Linked DNA regions of Neodiprion lecontei. The protein of the gene in region 1 purifies or fractionates together with the protein of each later gene. This does not show direct contact. Links are inferred from orthologs where the notes say so. Each region holds a gene or a part of one and is shown on either strand. Other genes may lie near its edges.

Evidence for each region.
Region 2: the proteins of 3-ketoacyl-CoA thiolase, mitochondrial (region 1) and 6-phosphogluconate dehydrogenase, decarboxylating fractionate together in Homo sapiens (co-fractionation; 3 studies listed by BioGRID). This does not show direct contact. The link is inferred for Neodiprion lecontei from reciprocal best matches to the Homo sapiens genes ACAA2 and PGD.

What each region holds. Positions count from the first base shown.
Region 1 is NC_060264.1:4,772,541-4,782,577, forward strand, and holds 3-ketoacyl-CoA thiolase, mitochondrial, read right to left. Parts: upstream 6,567-10,037; 5' UTR 6,442-6,566; coding exon 6,423-6,441; intron 5,180-6,422; coding exon 5,013-5,179; intron 4,921-5,012; coding exon 4,789-4,920; intron 4,351-4,788; coding exon 4,086-4,350; intron 3,864-4,085; coding exon 3,688-3,863; intron 3,564-3,687; coding exon 3,363-3,563; intron 2,766-3,362; coding exon 2,611-2,765; intron 2,516-2,610; coding exon 2,434-2,515; 3' UTR 2,272-2,433; downstream 1-2,271. Other genes in the region: uncharacterized protein LOC124294757, read left to right, coding at 1-208, 896-1,052, 1,266-1,396; protein disabled, read left to right, coding at 8,039-8,075. UniProt on the Homo sapiens protein: In the production of energy from fats, this is one of the enzymes that catalyzes the last step of the mitochondrial beta-oxidation pathway, an aerobic process breaking down fatty acids into acetyl-CoA.
Region 2 is NC_060263.1:36,905,573-36,915,352, forward strand, and holds 6-phosphogluconate dehydrogenase, decarboxylating, read right to left. Parts: upstream 6,560-9,780; 5' UTR 6,060-6,559; coding exon 6,049-6,059; exon of another isoform or gene 6,019-6,048; intron 5,513-6,018; coding exon 5,289-5,512; intron 4,715-5,288; coding exon 4,470-4,714; intron 4,278-4,469; coding exon 3,652-4,277; intron 3,510-3,651; coding exon 3,167-3,509; 3' UTR 2,595-3,166; downstream 1-2,594. Other genes in the region: RNA-binding protein 45, read right to left, coding at 1-370, 670-784, 1,721-1,919; ADP-ribosylation factor-like protein 5B, read left to right, coding at 7,739-7,784, 8,885-9,329, 9,654-9,702. UniProt on the Homo sapiens protein: Catalyzes the oxidative decarboxylation of 6-phosphogluconate to ribulose 5-phosphate and CO(2), with concomitant reduction of NADP to NADPH.

The DNA.
Region 1 (10,037 bases):
AGAAAAAACTCTGCAGTATTTAGAACACATTAAATCCTACACTGAACAAAACCATCTGCTACTACGTAAAATCTTCTCAAAACAGAAGGAAGTCAGCATCGACGTAACAAAGAAACCAGCCGAATTCCCAAAACTTCCTCTTAACTCCATGGAAGACTTCTCCAACCTCGAAAATATCCTGAAATCCGAAGAGCATCGAACTTATTTAGTGAGTAGACCTTGCAATCATATTCAAAATATGTATGTCATGACATACGGATAGGTACTAATACCGAGCGTATTCTTCAATGAGGGCCAACCCCCTCCCTAGCGCAAACCAACACAGGCACATGAGGCTCGGCCGGGAGGGGATAGAATGCCAGTGGCCATGTTAGTCTCCACTCGACCGAACTTCACGTACGCGTCATGTGCCTGAGTTGGCTTAGCACTAGGGAGGGGGTTGTCTCTCATTGAAGAATACGCTCGGTATGTGTTGACTGCAAAGGAATAATGAAAATTACTACAGGCATACAGAATTGCGGTTCGTAACGTTTTAACCCTCTCGGACCGTATGTTGCTTCTACGCAACACGCACTTTGAGGCTTCATAAAACTGTATCGGTCGCAAGGTCAGGGTTCTAACTGCATAGTTCCATTAAGCAAGGTCAGATGGCCTTATAGATACTCCTAAACCCTGAGGTAAACTGCTTTCACCCATCGAAATATCAATATGGTGAGAGATTTTCATTCAACATGAAATCGGTCTCGGTCTGATCGAGAGGGTTAACGTTAAAAAATGCTGAAAAAATATTAGGAATCGACAATCTCCAACTAGTCAAAATTGTTATCGATGTTGATAACAGTAAGAATATTTTGAATTCAATTCGACATTCATTCATTTTAGTATTTTGTTGCAGACCGGGAAACTGGCTTCTGTTGGAGGGACAAGCGGTCGCCAATGTGTGTTGGCTATAATGAGGTCACTACTCACAAACGAATTAGCGATGCAATTCAATTGGGCAGGGAGGGACAAAGTCCCATTTCAAAAGACATTGACAATGGAAACTGTTTACGGTAATGAATAATTCATGAAATTTTCGAGAAACAGTTATTACTTGGATTTATCGTGTGAAAACAATATTATTCACACATTATTATTCAAATTATGCAAACTGTTAACTTTTTTCCCAATATATTCGAGATTCATCACAATTTACATTGAAATTATTCCTTATCAGTTATCAATATCGTGATATTGTACCTTCCTTTTGATGTATTTTTTCTCAGAGGCTGTGAAACAAACCTTTCTTGGCAAGAAGGAAATTGGTGATGCAACCGAAACCAGTGTTTCGTGTGCCGTGAAAGACTGGTTAAAACTAGCTCGATCACGGCATGCCTATGTACGAAAGAAGGGCTAAGAAACTGTGGTAAACGTCAACTAATTTTAAAAACAGTCATATAAAAGTACAAATCATACAGGCATATAAATATTTCTGATATAAGTGTAATATTCTTAGCGTTTTCTGTTAGTTGTAACTACCGTGAAGACGAAAGTATAGTGTAGGTTGAGCTGTGTCTATGAGCTACAAGATGTACCTTTTTTTTTGATAAATGAGTATTTATAGATATAAGATATTTGTGTAACGTTCTAACAAAGATATAATAAAATCGATTCACATATATAAACTAAATTCGTACGCTTTCTAACTCAACCCAGACTTGTTTCTAGCTAACGTGAAATGATCTTCCTCTATAGCAGTGTACTATATACGCTTTCAATTACACATCCAAGATACGTTATGTATTCAAGTCTAGAGGTCCAATTAAAAACGTTTTTTAACACTGTATAATATTCGTTTAGACATAAATAATGAAAGATTAAAGCGTCATTAACAGAAAACATTTTGTCACGTTAGTTAAACGGACATTGTCAACACATTTTAATAGAAAAAATTTCCTTCATAATTTGAGTGTTAAAACGTACTTGCGAAACGTCTCTTAGTAGTCATCAATATCCAAATATTAGACGATTACCATAAATATTAAAATAACGGATTTTCGATACGTTTTATCAACAAATTGAGATACGATTTATAAATGTTTGGTTTCAAACGTATAAAATTTGCATATGAACAACTATCGTAAGACGTCCACCAAAAACGTTTAATAAACCGAAATCACGGCGGACATTCTTCGCAATAAAATACGTAGGTGCTGCACGTTTATTCTACAGAATAAAACGTTCTTTTTTGACGAATTTCATACGCTTTATATACTGGCATTGTTTATTGGGTTACTGTATCGTATAATGGAAGTATAAAAATTACAGTTCTATATTATGTGTATAACATGTATAAATTGCGCTTCAATAACTCAACCGATCACATTTATCAAAAATTTTCAGCTAGTGCAGAGTAGTTGCATTGCATTTTCCTAAAGAAAATCAAACACTCGATCAAACAGCCTCGATGAGAAGAGCAATGCCTTGTCCGCCGCCGATACACGCCGAACCGATTCCAAACTTGGCCTTCCTTCTCCTGCAGAAGTAAGGAAGTCGAGAAATTAGTCTTTGGTCAGTATCACGTAATACCGATCGAAATGCCGAGTCTACGTTTAAACGTCGATCACTCACCTCAACTCGTGAACGAGATGTCCGGTGATCCTCGATCCGGAAGCAGCGAGAGGATGTCCCAAGGCGATGGCACCGCCGTTCACGTTAAGCTTGCTCAAGTCCAGGTCAAGGTCTTTGGCGCAGGCCAAAGTTTGCGCACCAAAGGCTTCGTTGATCTGGCAAAAAGGAAAAGCATTGATCATGGGAATCGCTCGGTTATACGAAAGGCAAAGAACCTGTCATACCATTTCACATTCCATTCCTGATACGCGAGTCTTAGATTCATAAAACGTTGTTTGTTTGTTTTCATTTTCATTTTTTTTTTTTTACAGTCATCTGTTTTCGAGAGAAATTTTTAGTTCCCGTCACCGCTCAGTGCTTAACTATTTTCATTTTTCACCACAATCGAAAAATATAGTTCTACGTAGAAAATAAAAATTAGTTTTCTAGCCGTTACCAGAAAGTCTTTATAGCTTTTTAATTGAGAGTAATGATTTAAACCGCCCAAGTTGCCCCCCACCCTTCCCCCGATAAGTACGATTCTGTTCGGATAGTTGTTCCAACGGTATTATCACTTTCAGAGATCACCGATTTACTCGGTTAGTGATTGATAACGAAAAGTACAAATCATGCGGAACGATTAGAATCAGATGTAAAGCTTCAATACGAATTTTTCATGATTTTCGGTCCCTTCTGATTGAAACTAATGATTTCACGTCCGTAGAAATTCCACGGAAATGACCAGCTGGAAAAAACTGAGAGGGTAAAATTACCTCGACAATGTCAATGTCGTTCAACGTCTTCCCGGTGGCCTTGAGAAGGTTTTTGATCGCCGGAGCAGGTCCGATACCCATGATGCTGGGTTCGACACCGACGACGCTGTAGCCGACGAGTCTGGCCAAAGGCTTAAGACCCTGGGACTTGACGGCTTCTTCACTGGCCACAATCACGGCTCCAGCGCCGTCGCAGATTCCCTGAAGAACGATTCAAACATTTAACGAAACGGCGCTAGACTCGGTAGAAAATGAGCTTGTACATCAACCATGCCGGTGAAGATTATCCTTCTTCAAGAGAACTTCTAAAATCGAATTCACCCACCGATGCTGTGCCGGCAGTTACGAGTCCGTCCTTCTTGAAGATAGTCGGCAGCTTGGCGAGTCCTTCGGGCGTTGTCTCAGGGCGAGGATGTTCGTCGACGTTGACGACGACTTCCTTCCTCTTTACCTGAACGGTGACAGGGGCCAATTCTTCCTTGAAGTACCCGGCGTCATTGGCTGTGAAAGAATCACACCTCAAGTCATCAATTATCCTTTGAGTTCAATTTTCAAAGAGGCTGCAATGTGACGAGAACACGATTCTGTTCTGCAAACTCAACCAACCCCTTCAAATTGGTCGTTATAATTTTGCAAAATTGCGGATCTTTTCTACGACGATTAGTCGCTAACTCCAACCTCGCGCTTCTCCTCGATCTTGACGATCGAAGATTCTCTACTCACCCGCCTTCCACAGCTTCTGGCTTCTGAGAGCAAACGCGTCGACTTCTTCCCTCTTTATTCCGTACTTAGCGCCGAGAGTCTCGGCAGTTATCGCCATCGGCATTTTGCAGTACGTGTCGGTCAATCCCACCCACAGACTGTCTTCCAGTGAGTAATTTTGACCCAATGTTGTCCCAAACCTGATGTTCCTAGCGATGAAAGGTGCCTGACTCATGTTGTCCGTTCCGCCGGTGAGAACTACATGGGAATCTCCGACGAGGATGTTCTGAATACCAAAAACGATTCGAAATCAGAGTTTGCGCTTCTATCTCTTTATTTTTGTACTCCATTTATATCAGAGTGTTTGAAAAAAGAATTTTTTTAAATTTTTTCTTACCAAAGGGTCAAAAGTTTCATTTAGATATAAAAATACACCTGTTATAATTCGAGCTCTTAATATTAACATTCCAATTTCCATAAGAATGACATGTGAAAAATGGTTTTTGCTCCTCCTGATTTTTATAACTGGCTAACGATGCTTCGTACAGAAAACTCGCAAAAATATTTTTGCAGAGAATTGAACGCTCTTCAAAAAAGGTCTCTTATCATTTTATGATAAATTTATTCCTCAAATAACCATCAACCGTTCGAAAGAGTGAATTGTTAGGAATTAATTTATAAAAATTTATTTTTTATTTTGAAACACCGTAATTTATATACTCACTTGAGCTCCGTTAACAATGGACTGAAATCCGGATCCGCATAGACGATTTATTCCAAGGGCGGGTCTGTCCAGAGGAATTCCACTTTTGAGGAGAACATGTCTTGGGAGAAATGCTCCGTCAGACGATGTGTTCTGGAAACGTGTTGGAATGAGATTTGAGAGATGATTTTATGGAGAGACAACGTTTACCGCAACGCAACATTCGCGAGTCAAATTTTACGTACCACCAACACGTTTCCGATTACGACACTGTCGATCTGTTCAGGTTTCAATCCACCTGCTGTTATCGCTGCCTTTGCAGCCACTTCCTGAAGCTCGATCGCAGACTTGTTCACGAATTTACCACCCAGTGTCCCGAAAGGGGTTCGCTTCGCGGCGACGATGAATATTCCTTAAACAACGATAATACGGTTATTGATTAATATATATGATCTCGAGAGCTTTGTCGATTTTGAAAATTGAACGAGGATAGTTATTCCGAGTAGTCGATTGGATGGTATTTTTTTTTTTTTTTTTTTTAATCACAAGCTCGACAATCGAAGTGAATTTTAGCAGGTATAAAAAAATCGAACGGATGCGGTAGTATTTTACTTTTAAAAACAAACGGTTACAAACGTTTGAATATTAATGAAAATTGAACGATCGCTGCTCCGCAAATATGTGAAATAATATCTTCAGATTACTCAATTTTGAACTGTAAAATTTGAACGTGTAATCATTGACGCAATTTTTATCTTCAATTTATGTTGTTATTGAAAATAATCTCTGATATCTAGTATCGGAACGCGTTCAGCATAGCAAAGTCCACGGGGTATAATTAAATACTCTAGATAATAAAAGTAGTTACAACAATACACGATACGTTTCAACGTGTATTATTATTTCTATTACGTGCAAAAGGTGTGGATAAAATGGTGCTAAAATTGAATCACAAGAACATCTGCAAACGGAACGAAGCTTAAACAAATAATACGACTCGTGGTCACAATTTCGAATAATACGTTTCACACGTAACGTTTGATAAAATGTGAGGTTGATCAAAATTATCTCTGGAAGTTCGCGTCTGAAGTCAATTGGAGTAAAGTAAGAATCTGAATGAAATAATAAAGTTAAAAAAAATCGTTCCGTTTGCTGTGGCGCAATATAAAATTCCATAGTCTAGAGTTCGAAACATTGCGCAAACTCATGTTACATTACACATAATATATCATTCGAGTTAAAATAAAGTCACGCCAAGATTACGTTACAATTTGAATGACAGTTAATGAGTTTCAAATAACAAGTCTCACTTGATCAAAATGGAAATGCTTCCGAATCGGGCGGTCAAAATATTGGCTCAAACGCGTTCCGCGTATCGGTCAAGGAATAAAAGGTTTAATCGAAGAACCTCGACTGACAATGAGTGGGAGTGACGGAAAAATGAAAAATAGAAAGATCGAAACGAGTCTCGATGGTGAGTTTACACTCGTTGAGCCAACAGAGAAAAGGAACAGTTCTGTGAGTTAATCCAGCCGTCGAGACGAGTCTGCCACTCGAGTGGCTCTGAGAAGAACCTCCGAAACGCCCTAATTCGTCAACTCAGACAATTTTTGGGGACTTGACCGAAATTGATATAATAAAAGAAAGTATCGTACCTTTGGTGGCGATCGACATGATTTCTGTTTTCTGACCTACGTTGGACTAACGCGTTAATCAGAGAAGTTGAGTCTTATTACAAGCCATCAAAGGTCCAAAGTCCACGCAGGCTCCCCACTATCCAATATGAAACGTCGTTTACTGTGTTTCGCATACGTATCTTCACGGCTACGCTAGCGCCTTGAATTCCGTTGCGGAAATTCCGGCAGCTAAATTCAGCTGATGAATTCCTGGTCGTGGTTTTAAAAGGTTTTTCAAACATTGCTTATTTTTTTTACTTTAAACTTGATTGAACAGTGTTTTTCTTTTATTTTTTATTAATTTTTTTTTCGTTTTTACTAACTGGCAATAATATATTAAATTTAAAGTTATCGTTGTACCATTTTTTAATCAAAAATTTGCGGTCCGTTGATATTCGGATGATCGAGCCGTTTTAGACGCGGTCGGTAACTTACCGACACGTATTATACGTGACCTGCGTACGACGGATCTACTCCGTTATCTCCTCGACGGATAAAAAAGACGCGCATACGTGAAGATTTAGCGAAAAATCGGAGCGATAAAACGGGAGATTATATTCCCGTGGTTGACTCGACAATGCGAGAGGAAATAAATCGGACAGCGTGCAGGGAGTCTATGAAACAACCCACCTCAAGCATACCTGTGTGTATACAATTGAAAGAAGGCGTGGATCGCGTGATTTGGAACGCAATTTGAAATTGTGTGGAAGAAAAGGCGCGCCTTCGGATGGCGTTTTCAATGCACCTCGTCGGACAAACGTAGCCGCGTTGCGTAATCGCTAAGCGGTCGAATTCACCGCAACGGTATTACGGCGATGCGGTGTGTATAGGAGCGAATTATTTCACCAATTGATTTCAATAAACCGCGTGGGCCAAAGCAGTGGCCATTTTGTAATTTCCCGGTGCAATCAGCTTGCGCGGCGTCTCGCCCCGAAATATCTTGCGGAATTCGTCTCTAGCCGCGGCTGATCCACGCTCTCGAATTCTCTCACTCGCGGAAAAAAATTCGCGAACAATCGTCGAAGACGCGGATTGGACAGGCGACGCTTTCGCGGTTCGAACATTATACCGTGCATGCCGAGACGGATCCGCTCGGTACTACCGCTCGACTGTATTATTGATCAATGGGGTTGCGGGCATGGAAGGAAGGCCAGTGCCGGCAGGCAGCTGTCAGATCCCCCTAAATTTCCACACGCTTATACAGCCGTGCCGCGGGCTTGATTATCGGGCCTTCAGGCCAGCCCGAAATTTTGGGCCCCGCGAGCGAAAGTCCCGCGATTTAGCCGCGCGCGATATTCCTCGATTGTTTTTACCCACGGGGTTGAAATTTCGCTCGGTGGTTGTGACGCGGTATGGTTATTGTGATTGTGCCTGTGACACACCGTGCGAATCCTCACCCTTTTCGCGATCAACGGTTAAGGCGGCGAAACTCCGAGGATATTCAGGGCTCTCGGACCTGCGGTATCGAGCTTAGCGATGAATCGGTGAACAGGAGGAGACTAGGGACGTGAAAAAAGAGAGAACCGCAAGCTCAGGAACACCGAGACGCAAAAATTGCAGGCTTTTTGAACGGACGTCGCTACGCCGGTGGCCTGATGCAGACCCTAAGGAAGAAGAACAGCCCCTGCAAGTGTGAGTAGATTTGCAACAGAAAAAATTCCCACTCGAATTTCAAAATTTACTCATCAAACGATATCGCATCCGTGTAACAACAATTCGCATTAATTTTTCGGTTCACCCGCCGCTGCGCTAAATTATACGTGCAGTTTTCATTTCGTTACATACTTCGTTGCAGCGTCTATTTCCGGTATCTCGTTGCGTATCGCAAGCGAGTAGGTTCAACGCACCTTTCGTCTGGTAAGTTGAAACCCCGCAGGTGGGTATAAGGTGTTTAATTACACCGAGCCGTTTCTATTCCGAGGAGATCAATTTTTATCTTATAAAATAGTTAATGCCTTCGGCGGCCCGCTCGTTCAACCTACGGCGGAGTAAGCCTTTGGCAGGCAACTGTATTTCCAACTCTACAACGTGGATTTAGTTCCATATCTCGTTGACAGACGGCGCCAGCGTGATATTTTCGCTCGCGATCAGGTTAAAGCGGCAAACGGTTCTCAACTTGTACTTTTACCGTCATTCGAATTTCAGTCACTTTCAAAGTGCGGCGATAAGATTTCCTTTTCTTTTTTTTTTTTCTTTTATTTTATACTCCTCAAACCATTTCGGAACTGCTCTACATTTTACGGTTTTGTTTACCGACTATAGTTTAATATACAAAGATGACAAAAATGAATTAGAAATTTATTGTCTTTCGAAACGATACTCAATTTTTGTATTTTTAATTTGTGAAATCATTCACTGTCTTCAACTCTTTGGCGAAAAACTGTCGAATACCAGCTAATTCTGTAAAAACGAAAAACACGAGGATGCGATACTTTTTTGCCAATCTGTATCGATCTTCTTTTATTGACGAGAAAAATCATTTTCTTGTTTGATTAGCTTGATCAAAAAAGCTAAGAATTGTTATGTTTCTCGAGACCTTGAGCTGTCATTAAACATAATAATCATAGCAACGTATTTAAGCTGAATAATTATAAATATGAATTATTATTTTCCCATGCATTTACCGAATTTAAATACTGCTCACGATCTCTCTCTATCTCTTTTTTAGTTTTTTTTTTTGATTTTTAATAATTCTCACCTCATTCATTTGTTTATTTATTCACTCACCTTTTTATTACTTTTTATTTTAATTTTGTGTTTTAATAACCATCTGACCTCATAAGTATGTCCCAGGACGTATAAACGCCTCTCTCTGTCTCTTTCTTCAAAAATGAAGAGATTATGTTCCTGAACGGATTTGTTAAATTTTTATACACTCCTCGAAGCCTCGATACCTCATATAAGCTGTTCTCGAGCTGAGGAAAGCGAATTAGTCGAACGCCATGAAAGCAGATGAAATCAATTGTCAGCATTTTCCTTTTCCCTTTTCCTTTTCTTCGTCTGCTCTTTATTCCCTTTCTCTTTTACACGGTCAAGTGGCTCGCCGCAATCTCTGGAGCGATAGAGTATCTCAATTTAGGCACGTTCCAGGCATTGCCGACGTTTTATATATTACATATGTATGTATACATATATACATAGCTATCATGGGGTTTCGTGCACCCTGTGTCATTATACACATCCGTTCGATGACGTGGTTTCCGTTTTCCAACGATGTTATTATACCCACCTGTCGTATTTTTCCAACCCTCCATTTTGCCAAGGCAATTAATTTGTACGCTTGTTTGACATTGGTTCGTAAAAAAAAAAAACAAATCGATTCATTTTATGAATTTTATCTCGTACGATAATCGTACGTTGAGTATTGTCTGTAAAATTATTGTACTTTCGTGAGCTACTGGGAGGTATCTTTGAAAATACAAAAATTAGACAAACCTGAACTTACAAATGAAACTTGAATCATATTTTAAGCAACTTTCGACCTATTTTTATTGAAAAGCGAAAGGAAAACTACCCGCGTGTTTATAATTCACATTTTTCTACAGAAAAATAATCACGAACAGGTACAACAACTTGATAAATAGATCGTCCTCG
Region 2 (9,780 bases), on another chromosome or scaffold:
GCTACTTTTGCCAAAATTACTGGTGCCGTATCCTCCTCCATGGCTATCATAATTTGCAGAGATACCATTGTTATATTTTAAATCGCTATGATCCGGTTTGGGCTTCTTTGGCTCAGCAAAGACAGCTTTGTACTTTCTGTCACACTCTTCGAATGCCTTAGCTGCACTTGATACCTTTCTGAATTTGACATAGCCGAAACCTTTCGATTCATTTGTAATCCTGTCCTTGACTACCGTTACGTAATCAATAGGACCAAATTTAGAAAATTCCTGCTGCAGTTCTCCATCAGTCATTGACTTTGGTAGCACACAAAACAAACGTACCCACCTCTCCTCCTCGTTTGTTTCTCTGACAGATCCTTGGTCTCGGCTGAAAATACATTATGCAAAACTTTATTTCACTTCATCTTATTCAAAATATTATTACAGCTGGATAGGAAATATTTGTCCCATTATTCATCTCGTACAGTTCACGATGACTTGTACAACAGTATTTTCAGAGTACAATAAAATTTTCACATGTTAAAATTCACTTCGTACAGATTCAACTTACAGCATTCTTACAAATGTTCAATATTTAACTTTTGCACGTAATGTTGATGAAAATTCATCTAAAATTTTCATGTTAGTTAACATCACTTTCAAGTAGCATAGCTTTATTATACTCACTTAGATGCGATCATAACTTTAATTGGTCGACCAACGCTTCCCAACATTTTTCCATTCATTTCTTCCAATGCAAAAGCAGCTTCCGATGTCTTCGAAAACTTAATATATGTGACCCCTGCACAAAGTAACACAATAAGAATATGAAATTATTGCAAAGAAAACATCTTGATACCTTAAATTTATTTTAAGGTCGATCAAACGGATTTTTAAACAATTTTTAGTTGATTGATTCATTTGTTTTCTCTCTCATCTTTGGATTTCCAGTCTATGTTAATTCAAAGATATTACGTCTATCAAATATAAGCAAGACTCATAAATAGATCAACTTCCAAGAGAGAAAATCGGTAAACTTAGTTGTTAAATTTGTGGGTGGAGTACAGTATTGAAGATAATTATGCTCATCTGATAAAAGGTCAATTTCTAAGAAAGTAGAGTCGACATTGAAAACTCATGTATGGATGACACCATTGTATGCAATCTCTACATTTAAATTATATGCATCTGATTAATTACAGGTGATGTTTTGAAGACGTTTAAATTTCGTAAGACATTGTTTGAGGGGATCAGTTGCTTTGTAACAATAAAATTACGTTATCAATAAAATCTCCAGGGCACAGTAGGGTTGTGCGAGATAAAAATTCGTATGCAGTGAAAAGCTTCTCATAAAAAGATGATACAATGCATAAAGGTTCAGTATTGGATAATTTGGATAAACTAAAACTAGTAAGATACGATATAATATCACGTGATCTGAGCCATATGTGCAAATAGGATGCATAATTTGGAGGTTTGGTGCCGAAATCACGTTGTGTAAGTATTAATTAGCGGAAGTTCTAAAACTGGTCGAAAAGTTTAGAGGCTAGCCACACTAGGTACTATAGTTATCGGTAAACGCCGGCGGCATTCGAACAGAAGTTTCCGATTGCATTCAAAACGCAGAACAGTTGGGATGAAAATACTGAGAGGTGAAAATATGCAATTGGTGAAATGACATGATATGTAAATAACCGAAAATGAGACGCTAGTGAAAGTTATTGATTTATCCAATTACCCTTGTTTTCCCCAGTGTTTCGATCCTTAACAACCCAAATATCTTCAATTTTTCCAAACTTTTCGAACGCCTTCCTGAGGTCATCTTCCTCCAAACTTTTATGACAGATTACAAACAATCTTGAATTCGGTGGGTCGTCGTTCTTCGAACGCGGATCCGACTGAGAATAATACGCCTCGCGGTCTCTGTGATCAGCCATTTTACTAGTGAAATGTGAATATACTGGCTGCGGCTGCTGTTGCCTGCCTTCCACGCTGCCAACGAGAACTAAAATTCAACGACTTCAGGGCCGACACATCAAAGGCAACACGTAACGGTACAATTTATGTGACACATGTGTTACATGAAACGTGATGTACCATCGCTGAGTCTACGACTTCGGCTCCGTATTTCATCCCTTCAATACCATTCACGCATCAAACTGCCGACAGTTTTTACAACGGTAAACCGGAGATTGTTATCACTTACAATCAGTTAAAGCTGCCGGGTACCCGGTTTGCTCGTGACAGTGTTGTGCGCGTTATGTGCCATCGATTACAGGTCGTGTAATTTTGGTACCGGTCAGAAATATGCGCAGATATGGAATAATTTATTATATGTACTGTAATGAAAGCGATAGAATATACAATAGATGGTAAAATTTAATTACTTCTCTTGCGTAGATACTTAATGAGATTCGATTCTTCAGCTGAAATTAGCCTTATTACACCTAGGTTAATTATTCTTTCAGCGAACTTATCAACTTGTTGCTTTTCTCATTACAAAATTTCGGGATTTAGACTTATACCGTTATTCGGCGAAATGATTGTGTCATCTGTATGCGCGCAACGGGGCTTATAGGCTGGACACGCAAAAATGTTGCAGGGCGTAGAAGTAGTAAGAATAAAACAGTTTTATTCAGTTGAACAACGTTTCGATTAAAATTTTCACTTTTTCCGCTTCCATACGCTGATCTGATTGACTTTAACTGATTTTCGTACTAAAATTATATTGCAAACAAATGTTTCATACATTGATCTATTTTGTTACAATATTATAATTTAAATGACTATCGCAAAATGTACAAACTTATGAAACAACTATAATATGTATTCGTAATGTATTCGGAATGTTGCAACAGTCTTAAGAGTAATAAACGATACCGTATAAATATTTCCTATGCCGATTATTTATTACTCCAAGTGCCCTAAATGTAGCCGTTACAATCCAAATTTCATACAAAGTGCACTTGATTTGATTTACGACGAAAAAAAAAAGATAGAAATTTGTATCCTAAAACGATTGCAGAAAAATAAAACCACCTCATTTCAGCAATCGTAACTGGTGACAAACCCGCATCCGTAAAATGACAGGGAGAATAAAAGCTAACCGGTAATTGTCTTGCATGACGGAGAGCCCTTTCTCTTTTGGTATGAACAACTACCAGCGCTGTTCATAACTCGTTATTTACGCGTCATAGGTAGACGCAGATACATTGCCTCCGTGGCCTGTCCAGTTAGTATGAACAAATTTTCCTTCCGCGCCAAGTAGCTCATAAGTGTGGGCTCCAAAGTAATCACGCTGAGCCTGCAGTAAGTTTGCAGGAAGACGCGCTGTTCTAAACCCATCGTAAAATGCTAAGGCAGTCGACAGAGCAGGAGTCGGTATTCCAAGAGTTACAGCTGTTGCCACCGTCACTCTAGCACTCGCCTGGCACTCCTTCATTGCTTTCGCGAAGAAATCATCAAGCAACAGATTGGTCAGCTTTGGATTCTTGTCGAAGGCTTGCTTGATGTTTCCCAAAAAGGCGCTGTAATCATAATCCATAATACATTGATAACCATTTTCGTACGTTTACCTTCATTTAGGATGATGATTTTTCTTTCAAATTGGATCGGGCCAATTCGTGGCATCTACAGAGAGGGTGGCAATCAATTAAAGAATTCTCTCACCTTCTGATGATACATCCACCTCTCCACATGAGCGCAATTCCACCATAATTCAAATTCCAGTTGTGAATTTTAGCAGCTTCTCTTAGCAGCATGAATCCTTGAGCATACGAAATGATTTTCGAAGCATACAGCGCTTTCCGAAGATGTTCGAGGAATTGCTTTTTATCTCCTTGGTAAACAGCGTTTGGACCCTCCAAAACGGTGCTAGCTTCAATCCTCTCACCTTGGAGCGAGGAGAGACACCTTGCAAACACTGATTCTCCAATTAGCGTGACAGGAATCCCGTAATCCAAGGCAGCGATAGCCGTCCACTTTCCTGTACCCTTCTGCCCAGCTGTGTCTCTGATTCTTTCGAGAAGATAGCCCTTCCCATCCTTGTACTTCAAGATATCTCGGGTAATTTCAATTAGGAAAGAATCAAGCACCCCCTTGTTCCACTCGCCAAAAACGTCACTCATTTCCTGTGGGTTCAGACCAAGCCCGTTTCTCATGATGTGATAAGCTTCGCAGATCAGTTGCATGTCTCCGTACTCTATACCGTTGTGAACCATTTTCACAAAGTGTCCAGCCCCTGTCTCTCCGACCCAATCGCAACATGGCTCACCGTTACTCTTGGCGCAGATCGACTGAAATATTCGTAGTGTATTAACATTTCGAATTACTGTCCCGAATGTAGTTTATATTCATGATTCTCTGAGTAGTGACAGCAATAATTTTATGACAAAGAGTCAAGACGCTAGACACACAAATTTTTTTGAGGCAATTTCCAACTATAAATAAAGCAATATCTATTCGCCTAGCCCTTGATTGGCAATTACCTGGAAAATAGGCTTGATATGAGGCCATGCTTTGGGATTGCCACCTGGCATGAGGGATGGCCCATACCTGGCCCCATCCTCTCCTCCACTAACGCCACTGCCAACGAAGAGGATCCCCTTCTTCTCCAGTTCCTCCGTACGCCTTTGAGTATCTTGGTATTCAGAATTACCACCGTCAATAATGATGTCTCCCAATGACAAAAGTGGTACCAGTTTATCTATAAACCCATCGACAGCTGGACCAGCTGGAAATAGAATACAAGTGTTATATGTTGTATTAGCTGTATTAACTGTTATGTGCTGAAGGCTTTGAAGTTACAGCAGACATTTTTTCGCACAATTTAATATTTCATAGAGTTTGATTGGTACCGAGATTTAGTGATATTAAAAGCCGGTTAGTGCTTTATTGTTACAATAATGATGCTTTCTGCTTGCTGACGGAAGAATTTCGCACATATGATTCGAATTCAAGGTGTATAAGTTTCACCTCGATGGGTATTTTTTGAGAGTTTCAAGCAATCTTACATAACAATCATGATGTAACTGAAAACATTCTAGCCATTGAGATTACTAAGTACATTAGCATTATCATAATTTAAGCTCGATACGAATTGTAAATGTGACTTTGTGACGTCATGTGCATATATGTAGACAAAAAACAACGTTTTAGCGATATCCTTAGAATTCAAGTGATTTTTAGGCTTGAATGTCATCAGCACTAATGTTTTCAGAACTACGATTACTGCCTTTATTAGAGCTGGTTATATGTTCATAATTTTTCCATCATGATACTAAGATCTGTTATAAAAGGATACGAACCTTTGACTAACAACATAATACGACGTGGCAATTTTAGCTTGGAAACCATTTCCTCCAAGCTAAAGGCACCCACTACTTTGGTGCCTTTGGCTTCATTTTCTAAGAACGATTTCACCTTATCTGTCGTACGATTGTAAGCGCAAACGACAAACCCATGGTCGTTCATGTTCAGGATCAGGTTTTGTCCCATAACGGCAAGACCGATAAGGGCAATATCAGCGACACTGTAAAAAGATGAGAATGACAAGATTGAGCATGAACAAAAACTGTACATTTGTGGTTCATTCGGCATTCAACAAGATATGTAAGAAAATTAGAACTTTCAAAACAAATTCAATCAAAAGATAGTGTAAAATTTATTCAATAAATGGTGATAAACAATTTTTGTGTTCTACGAAAATTTCTAATTGTGAGTAGTAGTAACATTGCATGGCAGATAAATTACTGCATTCGTCATTGACTGCCCTTGAGGTAGCCCGGATATTACAGTGCTGGACTATGACCGACATTTCGGATATACGATTATCTTTGATTACTAGTAGAACATGGCGTTTCGTAATGGTGTAGCGCAACATGAACAGGAACTGTGATTCGCGCGGGAGGTAAATGTACGGAAAACGTTGCATTAAAGTAGGTCAAACATGTGAAAGACGATTATTAAAGCTACGGTTCGCGACTGCCGCCGGCTATTAAATGCATGATCGTGCACTCCGATTTTCCTAGTAATTACCTGTAGTAGCAAGTAGTAATCGTTACTTACGGCTCTGTCATGATGGTGATTTTTCTGTAGAGAGCACGAAACAGGTTAAACCTCCGCCGAAGCAAGTGTGTAACTAGCAACAAGTGGCGTATACGACGAGCGTCCGTCGGGCAAAGGACGTCTTGGGTTATGAACGGATCGGGCCAGAGCCGAGTTAGTAATTCAGTCAGACCACCGCGTAAGAGCCAATCGGCGAACCAGCGAGGTCAGCGTTAACTTTCAATTATCTCACCGTTAACTATCGAGCCACGATTTGTGAGAGTGATTACGCCATCAGTTCCTATCAAAAATCACTTCCAAGTAAAATTTGAAAGTCACGCTCCACAATTACACCCGATTACGCCCGACATCGATTAGTTGACGAGTCAGTGGGTCGGGAGAATCGATTGTTGGTTGATCTCACGCACTGGGTGCGATTTTCTGAAATTTCCTAACTCTGGTAGATAACACTTCGATTTTACTTTAATACTTCAACAATTGGATGAAGAGATATTAACTCGTACTATACTATAGGCTTACAACAGTAGGTTAGGATTTTGACAGTTCAATTAAGTCTGCGATGTCATCAATGTAAGTCGTGCAACCGACATACGGCGACATCTGCAAGCATGTGTCGGCCAGGGTCGATACGTGGTGCTTTCTTTTTCTTTGCTTTTCATTCGTGTTAATACACCAACGTACTTATAAATACGCAAATCTTGAACCTTTTATTTTCGACTTTCAATTTGTACGATCGTTTTATCTTGTTAACGGTGATTCATCGCTGAGCAAAAGTCTATGAAAGAAGGTGGCAACATTTGAATCATCGCCTGGCGTGCTGAGCGATGGCAATCCAGCAACAGACTCGTCATTTGAGTTGTCTATCACAAGGCGCTGCCCACACCATTCAACCATAATTCGCGTTCCGATTCTTCGTAAATTCATTTTGGAATTTTTATTCTTAAAAAATGTACGAACGCCCTTTTTGTACTCAGGAAATGAGTAATGGAAATAACTGAAATGACGTAACATGTTTTCTCATTGCATTTCACCACATTTGCCACATCCAATGGAAGAAAGATTTCTGCAAACCGAAAACCGGAAGCAGGTTGACCAGATGGTTCAATTCCGAGGAAGCATTCTACCAAGGTGACAAATTTCTGATAATCAGCCGTGTACGTCAGCCGGAATCATCAGTGCGTAAACGGTATATATGCAGACCACATAACGCGAGGATTACGCGGGTGAATACATTTCTCGCGTCTGCGCACAGACTACAAAGGTCGTGGCCACTCAGTGATCAGAAACCCTGCATAACGTCATCGTCCGGAGTTCTTCCCAAAGGGGACTGGTTGTTCTTTTGGGTCTGAGGAAGTACAAGAGAAAGTGCAATATGTCGGGGTTTACTTTGGCCTCGTTGAATTAGAGCATACTTGCGTATTTTTTCACGTTTAACGTCATTCGTATTACTCCTGTTGATATTTGTATACATTTGTGACGTGTTCCGCGTCTCAGGAAGGTTGAGAAACGGAGATTAATACAGTTTCGTCGTGACAGCCAGCCAAAATAGTTGCACATAACCCTGTGAATATGAGATATAACTCAAGATCCGACGCCACGAAGTATCTAGTGATCAGTTTACGTGATTGAAAGATAATCTCGCTGTAAATATTGAGTAAACACAAAACCTGACGCTCAAACCTTGTACAATATGGGACTTTTATTCTCGAAACTGTGGAGTCTGTTTGGGAACGAAGGTAAGCAACGAAATACCCAATGCCATTGCCAATTCAATTCCTTTGTGTCGATCACGAGTCGTTTTCGTGATTGTAAGTAATAATACACCACATGTCTACAACGAACGACCCATTTGAGACACTTACAGATATAAATCGCTATCAACTTTCGTTCAGAATCTACGTGTTTCTATTTCTGACACACCCTTCACAGGGACAGATAATTAAACTGTCTTTATTCCTTGCCCGAAAAACCTCTTGTAAAAGCAAAAAAGCAGTGAAAATCAACTCCTCCAAATGCCATTTCTACTACGTATCCGTAGTGACAATATTGACTTTGAATTTTGGAAATGTGATGACTCCACCTTATTTTTAATCATCCGTTTGTCATTCACCTCTCGCCAATATGATTATCACGAAAGTGTGGTCACGAATCACTCGCCAAATGAAGAAATGGAACGATCAGAAACTCTATTTTCACAATATGTAGATCTATAGAAACTTGGCATATTATTTATGCGACGAATACTTTCTTTCACAACTTTCACTAGCGCCACAAGGTCAGGCTATTTGCTTGTCACTACGTATTCACCCAACATTATAATTTTTGAGCAGTAGATTATAAGATTGAATCTATATTATTCTTGCTTAAAAGCTCACTCTCGTAATTCTTACAATTGTTTATAAATCGGTTTTCATTTTTTTCCTTCTATCTTGAATAAATCCATGAAAGTAGTTACTAACTTATGTTGTTGCGAATAGAGTAGAATACAAGCTATTCGTTTGAAATCGAATGTATGTCCTTGTGTTACATTTTTTAGACTTTTTTTCGTTTTGTTACATACCAGGCCTATTATGTTTTACCTTATCTGCCAGGTGCACAGATGTTGGTGTATCAGAATAGACCCTGAAAAACGTGTAATCATAAATATGAGACGGTAGTTGACCTTTATTTCTAAGTTCTCAAATTACTATACCTTCTGTGTTGTAATTGACTGCTAATCATGAATTGGTTTACGATACAATTAATTCTACTTTAATTTTTGAACTATGGCTTGTAAAATCTGTCAAGTCTAGGACATAAACAAATAATTAATTATACATTGTTGGTTTTATTTCAGAACACAAAATCGTAATGGTTGGACTGGATAACGCGGGTAAAACAACGATATTGTATCAATTTTTGATGAACGAGGTTGTCCATACGTCACCAACAATTGGTTCTAACGTCGAAGAAGTTGTTTGGAAAAATATTCACTTTATAATGTGGGACTTGGGTGGTCAGCAAAGTTTGCGAGCCGCCTGGTCAACTTACTACACAAATACCGAATTCATTATAATGGTGATCGATAGTACAGATCGTGAAAGATTAAGCGTTACTAGAGAGGAACTATATTCCATGTTGAATCATGAAGAGTTGAGCAAAGCCAACGTTCTTGTCTATGCTAATAAACAAGACTTGAAGGGAAGCATGAGTGCTGCCGAAATATCCCGGCAGTTGGATCTTACGTCGATTAAAAAGCACCAGTGGCACATACAAACTTGTTGCGCACTTACAGGAGAAGGGCAAGTGTTTCATGGAAATTGTTTTTATCCTTGACAATCGGATCTTGTTTACTGAGTTTGTTTTCAATTTTACACAGAATATGTCGTAGATATAATATTATTTGTATTTTTTTTTTTTTTTCAAACTAAAGGCGATTTTTCGTATGGAGTGAATATTGCCAGATGAATTAATTCTGTACATAGCTACCATGTGATACAATATTTGTCCTTGCATCTTTACAACCTTATCTTGGCTATATATCAACTTACCTGGTTTTATGCTTTGCTTACATTAGCATAGGTAAACACTCTGTGTTCGATAATAATGAAAAAAATTTTTTATAGGCTATACCAGGGTCTCGAGTGGATCGTTGGTAGACTGAAGAAGACATGACCCAAATCGTGAAAGCTTAAACTGCCTTTGTCAATAAAATATACAGAATGTAAAATATTCGAAGGGATTTAGGTATTG